Linked DNA regions of Oryzias latipes. The protein of the gene in region 1 purifies or fractionates together with the protein of each later gene. This does not show direct contact. Links are inferred from orthologs where the notes say so. Each region holds a gene or a part of one and is shown in the gene's direction. Other genes may lie near its edges. The genes, in order: clp1 and tsen15.

Evidence for each region.
Region 2: the proteins of clp1 (region 1) and tsen15 purify together in Homo sapiens (affinity purification with mass spectrometry; 4 studies listed by BioGRID and IntAct, counting the BioPlex papers as one, with this or other methods). This does not show direct contact. The link is inferred for Oryzias latipes from reciprocal best matches to the Homo sapiens genes CLP1 and TSEN15.

The regions. Positions count from the first base shown.
Region 1 is NC_019868.2:14,103,896-14,108,501, reverse strand, and holds clp1 (polyribonucleotide 5'-hydroxyl-kinase Clp1), read left to right. Parts: upstream 1-1,680; 5' UTR 1,681-1,770; intron 1,771-1,778; exon of another isoform or gene 1,779-1,871; intron 1,872-2,070; 5' UTR 2,071-2,072; coding exon 2,073-2,345; intron 2,346-2,438; coding exon 2,439-2,546; intron 2,547-2,638; coding exon 2,639-2,758; intron 2,759-3,419; coding exon 3,420-3,557; intron 3,558-3,659; coding exon 3,660-4,346; 3' UTR 4,347-4,490; downstream 4,491-4,606. UniProt on the Homo sapiens protein: Polynucleotide kinase that can phosphorylate the 5'-hydroxyl groups of double-stranded RNA (dsRNA), single-stranded RNA (ssRNA), double-stranded DNA (dsDNA) and double-stranded DNA:RNA hybrids. dsRNA is phosphorylated more efficiently than dsDNA, and the RNA component of a DNA:RNA hybrid is phosphorylated more efficiently than the DNA component.
Region 2 is NC_019875.2:13,673,355-13,677,960, reverse strand, and holds the start of tsen15 (tRNA-splicing endonuclease subunit Sen15), read left to right. Parts: upstream 1-1,524; 5' UTR 1,525-1,642; coding exon 1,643-1,702; intron 1,703-1,783; coding exon 1,784-1,865; intron 1,866-2,471; coding exon 2,472-2,607; intron 2,608-2,688; coding exon 2,689-2,892; intron 2,893-4,115; exon of another isoform or gene 4,116-4,606. UniProt on the Homo sapiens protein: Non-catalytic subunit of the tRNA-splicing endonuclease complex, a complex responsible for identification and cleavage of the splice sites in pre-tRNA. It cleaves pre-tRNA at the 5' and 3' splice sites to release the intron.

The DNA.
Region 1 (4,606 bases):
CGGATGAAACATAGGACGTGCGTACGCACAGAAATATTCGGAGTTATAAAACCGTGCGCACGCACATCCTACGCATCTTTCCCTTAATAAATCACAACCGATTCTAAATGCTGCGCAGCTTTTGCGGCTACATGACACGCCCATAGTTGCCCATAAATAGTCCGTGAAACGCCCACAAATGAATATTCATTGATTGCGAAACCATGCCAAACACGGAGAGAAAATCAAAAAAACGTAACTTCACTCAATGTGAAGTAGAAGTTATCGTTGGCGAGGTGGAAAAGAGGAGAATAATGTTGTTTGGAGGGCACAGTGTGGGCATTACTAATGCCAAAAAGGCACGTGAGTGGCAAACGGCGGCAGACGCCGAAAATGCTGCAGCCTCACAACCTCGGACCGTGCCCGAAATAAAAAAGAAAAGGTCGGACATCAAAGTCGAGGCAAAAAAACGTCTAGCGCTGAACCCCCCCCCCCCCACACACACACACACACCCGTGTCTGCCACGAGTGTGTGTGTGTGTGTGGGGGGGGGGGGGGACACCGGAGCTGACCCCTCCTGATGAGAGACTGGCGGCAATAATTGGGGAATCCCTTTTAAGTGGAGTGGTGACTGAGGCGGAGGGGGACACCCACGCGCCAGATGCACCGGGTGACACACCCCCAAAAGCCCGCAGAGGAAGTCGGAACCGGCTCATAAGCCACTCGTCCTCGTTTGCCAGCAAGTCTCCTTGCTGTCTAAAGATGCGTTCACTCCGAATTCTTCCATTTGCCACATCTTCTAAGAGAGCAAGATCAGCCATTGTGCGTCATTACGCATTGTGATGGGGCATTTTATTTCCCTCCATTTAATTACATCTGACAAGCTACAGATGTCGGGAATAATCGACGTGGAAATGGGAAATTGTTCAGCGCAAATGTAATTTCTTGTTGCTTTCTGAATGGTCGAGACAAACGCCATACATTGTTTCATGAAAAATAAAACAAAATAAAGGCATATGCATGAATACCATAATTCTGTAGCTTATGAAGAAATATTTTACTATGAAAACAACTTTCCCCAGTGGAGAATTAATGCATCTCTCTCTATCTATCCATCTGTCTGTCTGATTGCTCCTATATCTGCTCCGCCAGACGGACACATTGACGGGAATATCAGTTGTGTACATTATTTCGTTCTGTTAACTATATTATTTATATTATTTATGAGGATGAATTGCACAACATGCCAATATTGCAGAACATATTTCACTTTTCTTTTTGCAAATATGTGCTCATTTGAATTTCTGTTGTAATTTTTGTTTGATTTTTTTGTTTGTTTCACTGCTGATCGATCAAACGGGTGTTCGTGTAGGCTGTTAATTGTAAGACTTGCTTTGTGAAGTCTTCATGTTATTTATCAGAGGCAGTATTGTCATTTTCACTTTCACGTGTTTCTTCCATCTGCCGACGGCGTCGCCGTTTCTCATTTCATCCGTTTTTGTGCGTACGCCTGGGTCAGAGCTTGCGTGAAGGACCGCACATTTTCCCGTCAAGTTTGCTTTTTATAAATCTCAACTATTGCGTAGAGAGTGGCGTACGCCTTCTTTTGTGCGTACGCAACGTTTATAAATGAGGCCCCTGGAATCAAAACAGAATCAGTTTATAGAAAAATCACGAAATATAAATCACAACCACGAGGGGGCAGCAATGCAGCGAGCGAGAACGCTGTTCTTTCTTACTATTGGTTGCTAGAGTCTTGACGTCATCATCCTGCGACGAACATCTCACTGGGTACACAATTTTTTGGTTCTGTGCTTAAGCTTTGTATATATCAGTATAAGGACGCGAATTATACAGTTTTGTATTCATTAAGCAAATTTGAAGACATTTAGGTGATCTCTGTTATTATTTATATTTGTTCGACATAAAACCCCACATTTCTTCCTTTCCTGCTAATCATCAGTTAGCTTGCCTTGTCGTGTGTTGTTTGACCATTTATTAATTAATGTTGCATTTACCTTTAACTTAACGATATTGTTGTTTTACATGTTGCACCCTGTTATGATTATATAACACCGTTTCTTTCTACAGCGATGGCAACAGAGTCTGTAGAAAAAACTAGCGACGATGCTCCGGCTAACGGCAAAGATTGCACCCGATTCGACTTGGAGAAGGAGACCGAGCTTCGGTTTGAGGTGGAAGCAGGAGAGGCCGCGGAGCAAGTGGAGCTGGAACTCCTGTCGGGACTGGCTGAAGTGTTCGGTTCAGAACTGAACCGCAACAAGAAGTACGTGTTTGGACCAGGATCCAAAATAGCTGTTTTCACCTGGCAAGGATGCAGTGTGAATCTTCATGGAAAGCCAGAGGTGAGTTTAGGATGAAATAAATAATCAGTCTTTTCTGTCCAGTTCTCCATATTAACTTCGAAACATCACCTATTATTTTTTTTTTAACCTCAGGTGGCCTATGTGTCTAAAGATACTCCCATGCTGCTCTACCTGAACACCCACGCTGCCCTGGAACAGATGAGAAAACAAGCAGAACGGGAAAATGAGAGGGGACCAAGGGTGAGGAGCAGCCAGATGGCTAAAATCCCCCCCTATAAATGTAACTTCTCTGTATATTTTGTATTACAAATACATATTTGCTGGCTTTCCAGGTGATGGTGGTGGGTCCCACAGATGTAGGGAAGTCAACAGTGTGTCGAATGCTTCTCAACTACGCTGTCAGGGTTGGCAGGAGACCAACCCTTGTGGAACTGGATGTTGGACAAAGTGGTGTAAGTACATTTAAAGTTGCACAACTTTAAATGTTTTAACCTCGCTACTATAGTCCAGGGAATGGTGTTAGATAGTATAAGACAAGTTGTGCAGACCTAATCTTTATAGTTTTTAAAGTTTTCCCAATGTAAATGGTTTAAATTAAGAAACAAAGCTTGTTATCACTTGTTAGTTCTGAAAATTAATCGTCTTGTCCTCTGTTATCCATAATGCTAAGTAGTATTTGGTTTCATTTATTCATATAAAAAAACTGCATATTTTCAGTGATAAATCAAAAATGTGTGTTTGAGATATTTGTACATCAATGACTAATTTCAATGTTTTCTAGGCATCATCTTTGAATGTCAAGGAGTTACCAAAACACTAGTCACAATCTTGTTGCTCATTGGTCTTTTTTTTCTTTCTTTCTTTTTTTTTTAGCTATTGTACTTCTAAGATGGTTGAACTGTTACTTGTTGTAACATGTGTTTCTGTATAATGACTTGCTGCAAGTACATTTGTTAGTTTTTTTTTTGTTTCCTGTTACAAAAAGTACATTATTTTATTTGTAGGATGCAGATTATTTGTCTTTGTAAACCTGCAATGTAAATGTTGAACAGTTCAGATTTCATTGTGTAATGAATTTACAGTAAGGTGTGACTAAACTTTGTTCTCTCTTAGGTGTCAGTACCAGGGACGGTGTCAGCGCTGTGCATTGAACGGCCGGCGGATGTGGAGGAGGGCTTCTCTGTCCAGGCTCCTCTGGTCTACCACTTTGGCTCCACCACTCCAGGCACCAACATTAAACTTTATAACAAGGTTAGAAGATTGTAGATATACAGTCATTTTATGTTTGTCATTGGCTGTCATCATTTATGCTGTTATTTTCTACTGCTTTTGTGTTTTTATCACTGTGGTTAGCTGACATCCTGCCTCGCTGAGATGTTTTCCCAGCGCTGTGAGGTAAACAGGAAGGCCAGCGTAGGAGGCTGCATCATCAACACCTGCGGCTGGGTGAAGGGTTCAGGATACCAGGCTTTGGTCCACTGTGCCTCCACCTTTCAGGTGGATGTGGTGCTGGTTTTGGACCACGAAAGGCTCTACAATGAGCTTAAACGCGACCTGCCCCACTTTGTGCGAGTTGTACTTCTGCCCAAGTCTGGGGGGGTGGTGGAGCGCTCCAAAGAGTGCCGGCGGGACACCAGGGATGAAAAGATCCGCGAGTATTTCTATGGATTCCGTGGAGTGTCCTACTACCCCTTTTCCTATGAGGTGCGCTTCTCTGACGTCCGCATTTACAAAATTGGTGCACCGTCTATCCCAGACTCGTGCTTACCTCTAGGGATGTCTCAGGACGATACGCAGCTAAAGCTGGTGCCTGTCACACCAGGGAGAGACCTGACGTACCATGTTCTGAGCGTGAGCAGCGTTGACGACGGAGACGAAGGTGCAAGAAAGAGCATTGTGGAGATTCCTGTGTGTGGTTTTATTGTGGTAACTTTTGTTGACACTCAGACACAGGTGATGAAAGTGTTATCCCCAGCACCCAGACCTCTCCCCAGACACACTCTGCTTATCATGGACATACGCTTTATGGACATGAAGTAATGCAGAACATACTTGAAGTGAGGAGAGATGGGTGCATTTGTTTAAAAGTTTTTGGTGTTTTGTAAAAAACCTCTGTAACAAAGTACCTCAGCAATTTGTTGTAAATGATGACATATTTTTAAACTTTTATGTACAAATGCAAAATCTGTCATGTCATTTTTTTCAGTTCCTTAAATAAAAAAAGTATTCTTTGTTATGGAAAGAAAAAAAGTATCTTTTGTATTTATTTTCGTTTAAAAGAACAAAGATTTAGCATTCAT
Region 2 (4,606 bases), on another chromosome or scaffold:
CAAAGCGGAGGTTTTTTCAAGACTTGTGTATCCCTGCCACTCATCATGTACATCCCCAAAAAACATCAAGTTGTCTAATTCTATTCTCCTTAAATCTATTTGGAAAAATAAGACTCACTATATATGAAAACCAAAACTGGTCAGAGATTATAAAAATGGCGGCTTAAAAGCTTTAGACCTTAAATCACAAATTGTAGCGTTTAGAATGAAATGGTTAAAAGATTGTATTTCCCAGCCTCATTCTATGTGGTATCATATCCCAAACAAACTCTTTGAGAAAGTCAGGGGACTGGAGTTTTTGTTGAAATGCGATTATAATCTATCAAAAATGCCAATGAAACCATCAAACTTTTACAAGCATGCCTTAGAATTTGGGAAGATGCTTTTCACTCATAACTTCTTCCCTCACAACACTGTTTTATGGAAAAACAGATTTATAACTGTAAACAAGAAATCCTTGTTTATGTCTGAATGGTATGATAATGGTGTGTGATTTGTCTATGACTTGATGCGCACTGATGGAAGGCTGTTATCATACAATGAGTTTGTAACTAAATACAAAATGAAGGATTCTAGTAACTGTTATAACAAAGTCTGTAAAGCAATTCCCACACCTTCACTCAATCTTATTCATAACATACTACAATACAATGCAACCAAACCACAATTTTTAGAGCGGAAAATTAATGATATTCCCCTAAAAGATAAAAAAAATGCCACAATAAATTAGTAACTCTTTTCTTTATACACAAAGTACCCACATCCACCTAAAATGAAAGAAACGCATTTTAAAATAATATCTAAAATTTACCCTGTTGGAGATTTTTTACATAAAAGATTTAAATTTCAATCGGAACCATGCATGTTCTGTTCATCTGAAACTGAAACGTTAGAATATCTCTTTTACAGTTGCAACCAGATAAAAATATGTTGGACTGATTTTCACAATTGGTTACACAAAGTTTTAATGATTCTCTTTTTTCCTTACCTGATGTTTTTTTCTGTACGGAAAATCTGGACCCGGGAATTTCTGATGTCATCAATGTTGTTATTATTCTATGCAAACATTTCATTAATTTATGGAAATGGTAAAATACATGTCCTTTGTTTAGTATTTTTTTGAATTATTTTTCTGAATATTAGAAGTGTCTTAAATGCATTCCAAACAAAAACAAGAAAACTCCAGTAATTTATCAAAATATAACAAAAGTATTGTTATTTTGAATTGTTTTTTGCCTTGCCTTTGCCTGTTTTTTGTTTTGTTTTTCTACATGCGCATTTATTGCGTTTGAGCGCCCTAACTTGGTTTGTATATGACCATTTATAGAAAAAACACACACACACACAGGGCTTAAACTATTATTGTTGTTTGGTCTTATATGTGTTTTTGATATTAACAATTGTTTCTTTATCGTGCTGCTGAATGTGAATTTCTACAAATTGAAAAACGTATAATAACGTTTATTGAAATAAAAAGGTCCTCCACGCCTCATTGGGGTGCGGAACATAAAGGAAGGAGCGTGTTCCCATCCGGTCGACATTTATTGTAGTACCCATTAAAAATTAAAGCTCAACCTTCCTAGCGAAAACGTGCGGTTATAGTAGTGCGCAAGTAGTTGTATTAAAGGATAAACACTGAAAGATGTCAGTACCTCCGGTGGAGAAAGCTCCACCCGCGAACTGGATCCTGCAGCACCCTGCGGTGAGCGGCCTGGAGCTTGGAGTAACGTGACCGTGAAGGTTCGCTGTGAGCGGAACTAACGGCGGCCTGCCTGTGTTTCAGTACCGGCAGATGGAGGCTCTGGAGCCCGCAGACAGCGCGCAGCTGCACGCTGCCTTTCTGGTGTGCATGGATCTGACTGAGGGTGATGTGATGAAGCCTGGATATGTTTCATTAAATATAAAGGGAGCTTAAATACGTACAAAGATAACAAAGTACAGAAGTGGCTATTAACAAGTTTTAATTTAAGTTTAAAATGCATTAGAATGACTGTGGATTTTGCTTGTATTCCTTCAAACATTTCTAAGTAGCTTCAATTCAAATTTTGAATGAAACCCTGTGATGTTTACAATGTTTTAAATAAGCTGATTTTTCTTCTGTAAAAAGTAATTTTGTATTTAGTTGTACATCTAATTGGTTCAAAAATCCCAAATCATGTTTGTAGATTAAAAAAAGTTAATTTTCATGTAATTTAAACCTTTTTTTTTATTCAGATTTTTTTCACATGTGTATACTTTATTTTTTTGTTACTTTTTTGAATTATTTTTCTGATTATTAATAATAATATATTAGTGTCTTAAATGCATTCCAAACAAAAACAAGAAAACTACAGTAATTTATCAAAATATATCAAAATTCAGTTAATTTTCATTTAATTTAAACTTTTTTTTATTCAGATTTTTAAAATCTGAATAAAATAAAATAAAGTAAAAGGTGTCAAACTATAAAAAGTGAATTTGGTTTCACATAGTGCGTCGCTGGAAGGAGGTGTCGTCCGTCAAAAGTCCGGAGCTGCGATTAATCTTGCTGGAAGGGAAGGAGAAGGATGGGGCCCCGGTTCACACTGTCCTCCCCCTGCCCGCTCATCAGTCCTTGAGCCACAGCAGGTGATGAGTCACCAAATGAGAGTTGGGACTTGAACCGTCGCTCACGGGTTTGTGACATGCAGCTGTTTGTCTCCTGAGCAGCATCTGCAGCGTACTGGACAGGGGCTTCCCCGTACTTTTGTGTGCCGTGGCATCGGACTCCACCCTGGTCTATCAGAGGCTGACGGATGGGCTGGTGACCCCGGAGCCCCCTGTGGGCCCCTTTCAGGATTTGGATCGACGGCAGCATCGCAAGAGGCGACAGCACAGCTTCCAGCAGCACAGTGAGAAGATGAGGGGTAAAAGGTGAAGAAGTTGTTTTTTACCTGACGGGCTACTGGCTGCCATCAACGTATGTTTTGAAACGGAGCTGATGGGTTCATCCTGGAGCAATGTGAATCATTCTAGGGGTACATATGTGGAAGCATTTCCACCGTGGACTGAAAGACCTACATCGATCCCTAAAATGGACACCGCAGACTTCTCTCCCACAGAGCTGCTATTTTATTCAGAGTAGTCAAAAACCAAAGTCATTTTGCCGTTTACCGATGTCAGCGAACGCATCTTCACCAGCCTGTTTGTGAAGCACGTCGATCACTTCTGTTGCCATGACAGTGTTTTTCCAGGATTCTGATGAGCAGAAAGCCAAAACTTTTGGAGTCCAGTGCCTGCGGTTCTGATGAGAAGATTCGTTTTTGCTGTTTGGAATTAAACTCCACTCTGATGTAAAAAAAAAAAAAAGTAAACAGTTTGTTTGACTTGAATACTGTCTCCCTAATTCTTTTAGTAGAAAACAAAACCGTATCCATAAAAAAGGAAAACGAAACCTGCAGACTTAAAAGATAAAGCTTTACAAAGCCCTGACTGGCAGCATTGATCAACCTCTCAGGCAGAAATGATCTAAACCAGCTGTGATCCGTAAATGCACACTTCCCTTCAGTTTTCCCTTTCTGTATTTGTTAATTATGAGGATGCAGATAAGAAAATAACTTTTTGATTCTCAGAGTGGACATCAAGGCCTCAATCGTGTATTTAAATTGCAGAACACCGATGGGGAAAAGGGAGCCAAAGGTTCTAAATCTTTTCTAAGTGCCTCAAAAACGTTGCTTTCCAGTCAAAGAAAAACCAAACTGTAGGTCTTAGTGATGATGGATGGGGCAGAGAAGGTTCTGCTGCAGTCTGGGCTTCTGTCAGTTAAAACCCCTCCATGGTTTGTAGAAAGCTGTGCAATCTGCACATGCACATCTGTCAGAGTTTATCAAGAAAGCTTGTGCAAAGTGTCCAAGAAAGAAACTGTTCTGCTCTTTCTCATATAAGGAAGGCTTTTATTTAGTCATACATGCCTGTAGACAAAATGGCTTTGTGTGTATATATATATATTTATATATATATATATATATATTTGGGTGGGGGCAGTTCAACAGCCTCACTAAACAACGCACATGTTTCAGAACATTTCTGAAAGGGATACGAGTCAAAATCATTCAAAAACTCTGACTTCTGTTTGAAGGAAAAACAACAGCGTCAGCCTGAGGGACAAAAACTGAAACTACTTTTATTCTTCTAGAAAACGGAGGCGGATCTACATTAAAACAGATTACAATAATGAGACACAGGCGGATGAAAGATGTCCAAATGTAGGAATTTGGAAAAACAAAAGCTATTAATAAAAAGCTTTTCATTGCTTTTTGCACAAATATGAATTGTATCCACTGAAGGAGCTCATTTTGATATCAAGTCCTGCCACAGACTGGGCTCGGCCGGGGGTATGTTCACCATGGAGGGCCATCTTCATTTTCCTCAAACCAGTTTGAGAAAACTTGAGCATTGCGGTGGTATGCTTCTGGAGTTTCTGTTTTTGGTTGTGGATTGTTTTTTCCAGCTCCCCTGTCATCCTTAATGTGTTTTCCGTTTCGCTAAATGCACCACGTCCTCTTAAGGTGGCTGCAGGCAGGCGGGCAATTTCAGCAGCTAGACTCTGCTGGGCTGACGTCATGCTGCTGTGATGGCTGTGGTATGT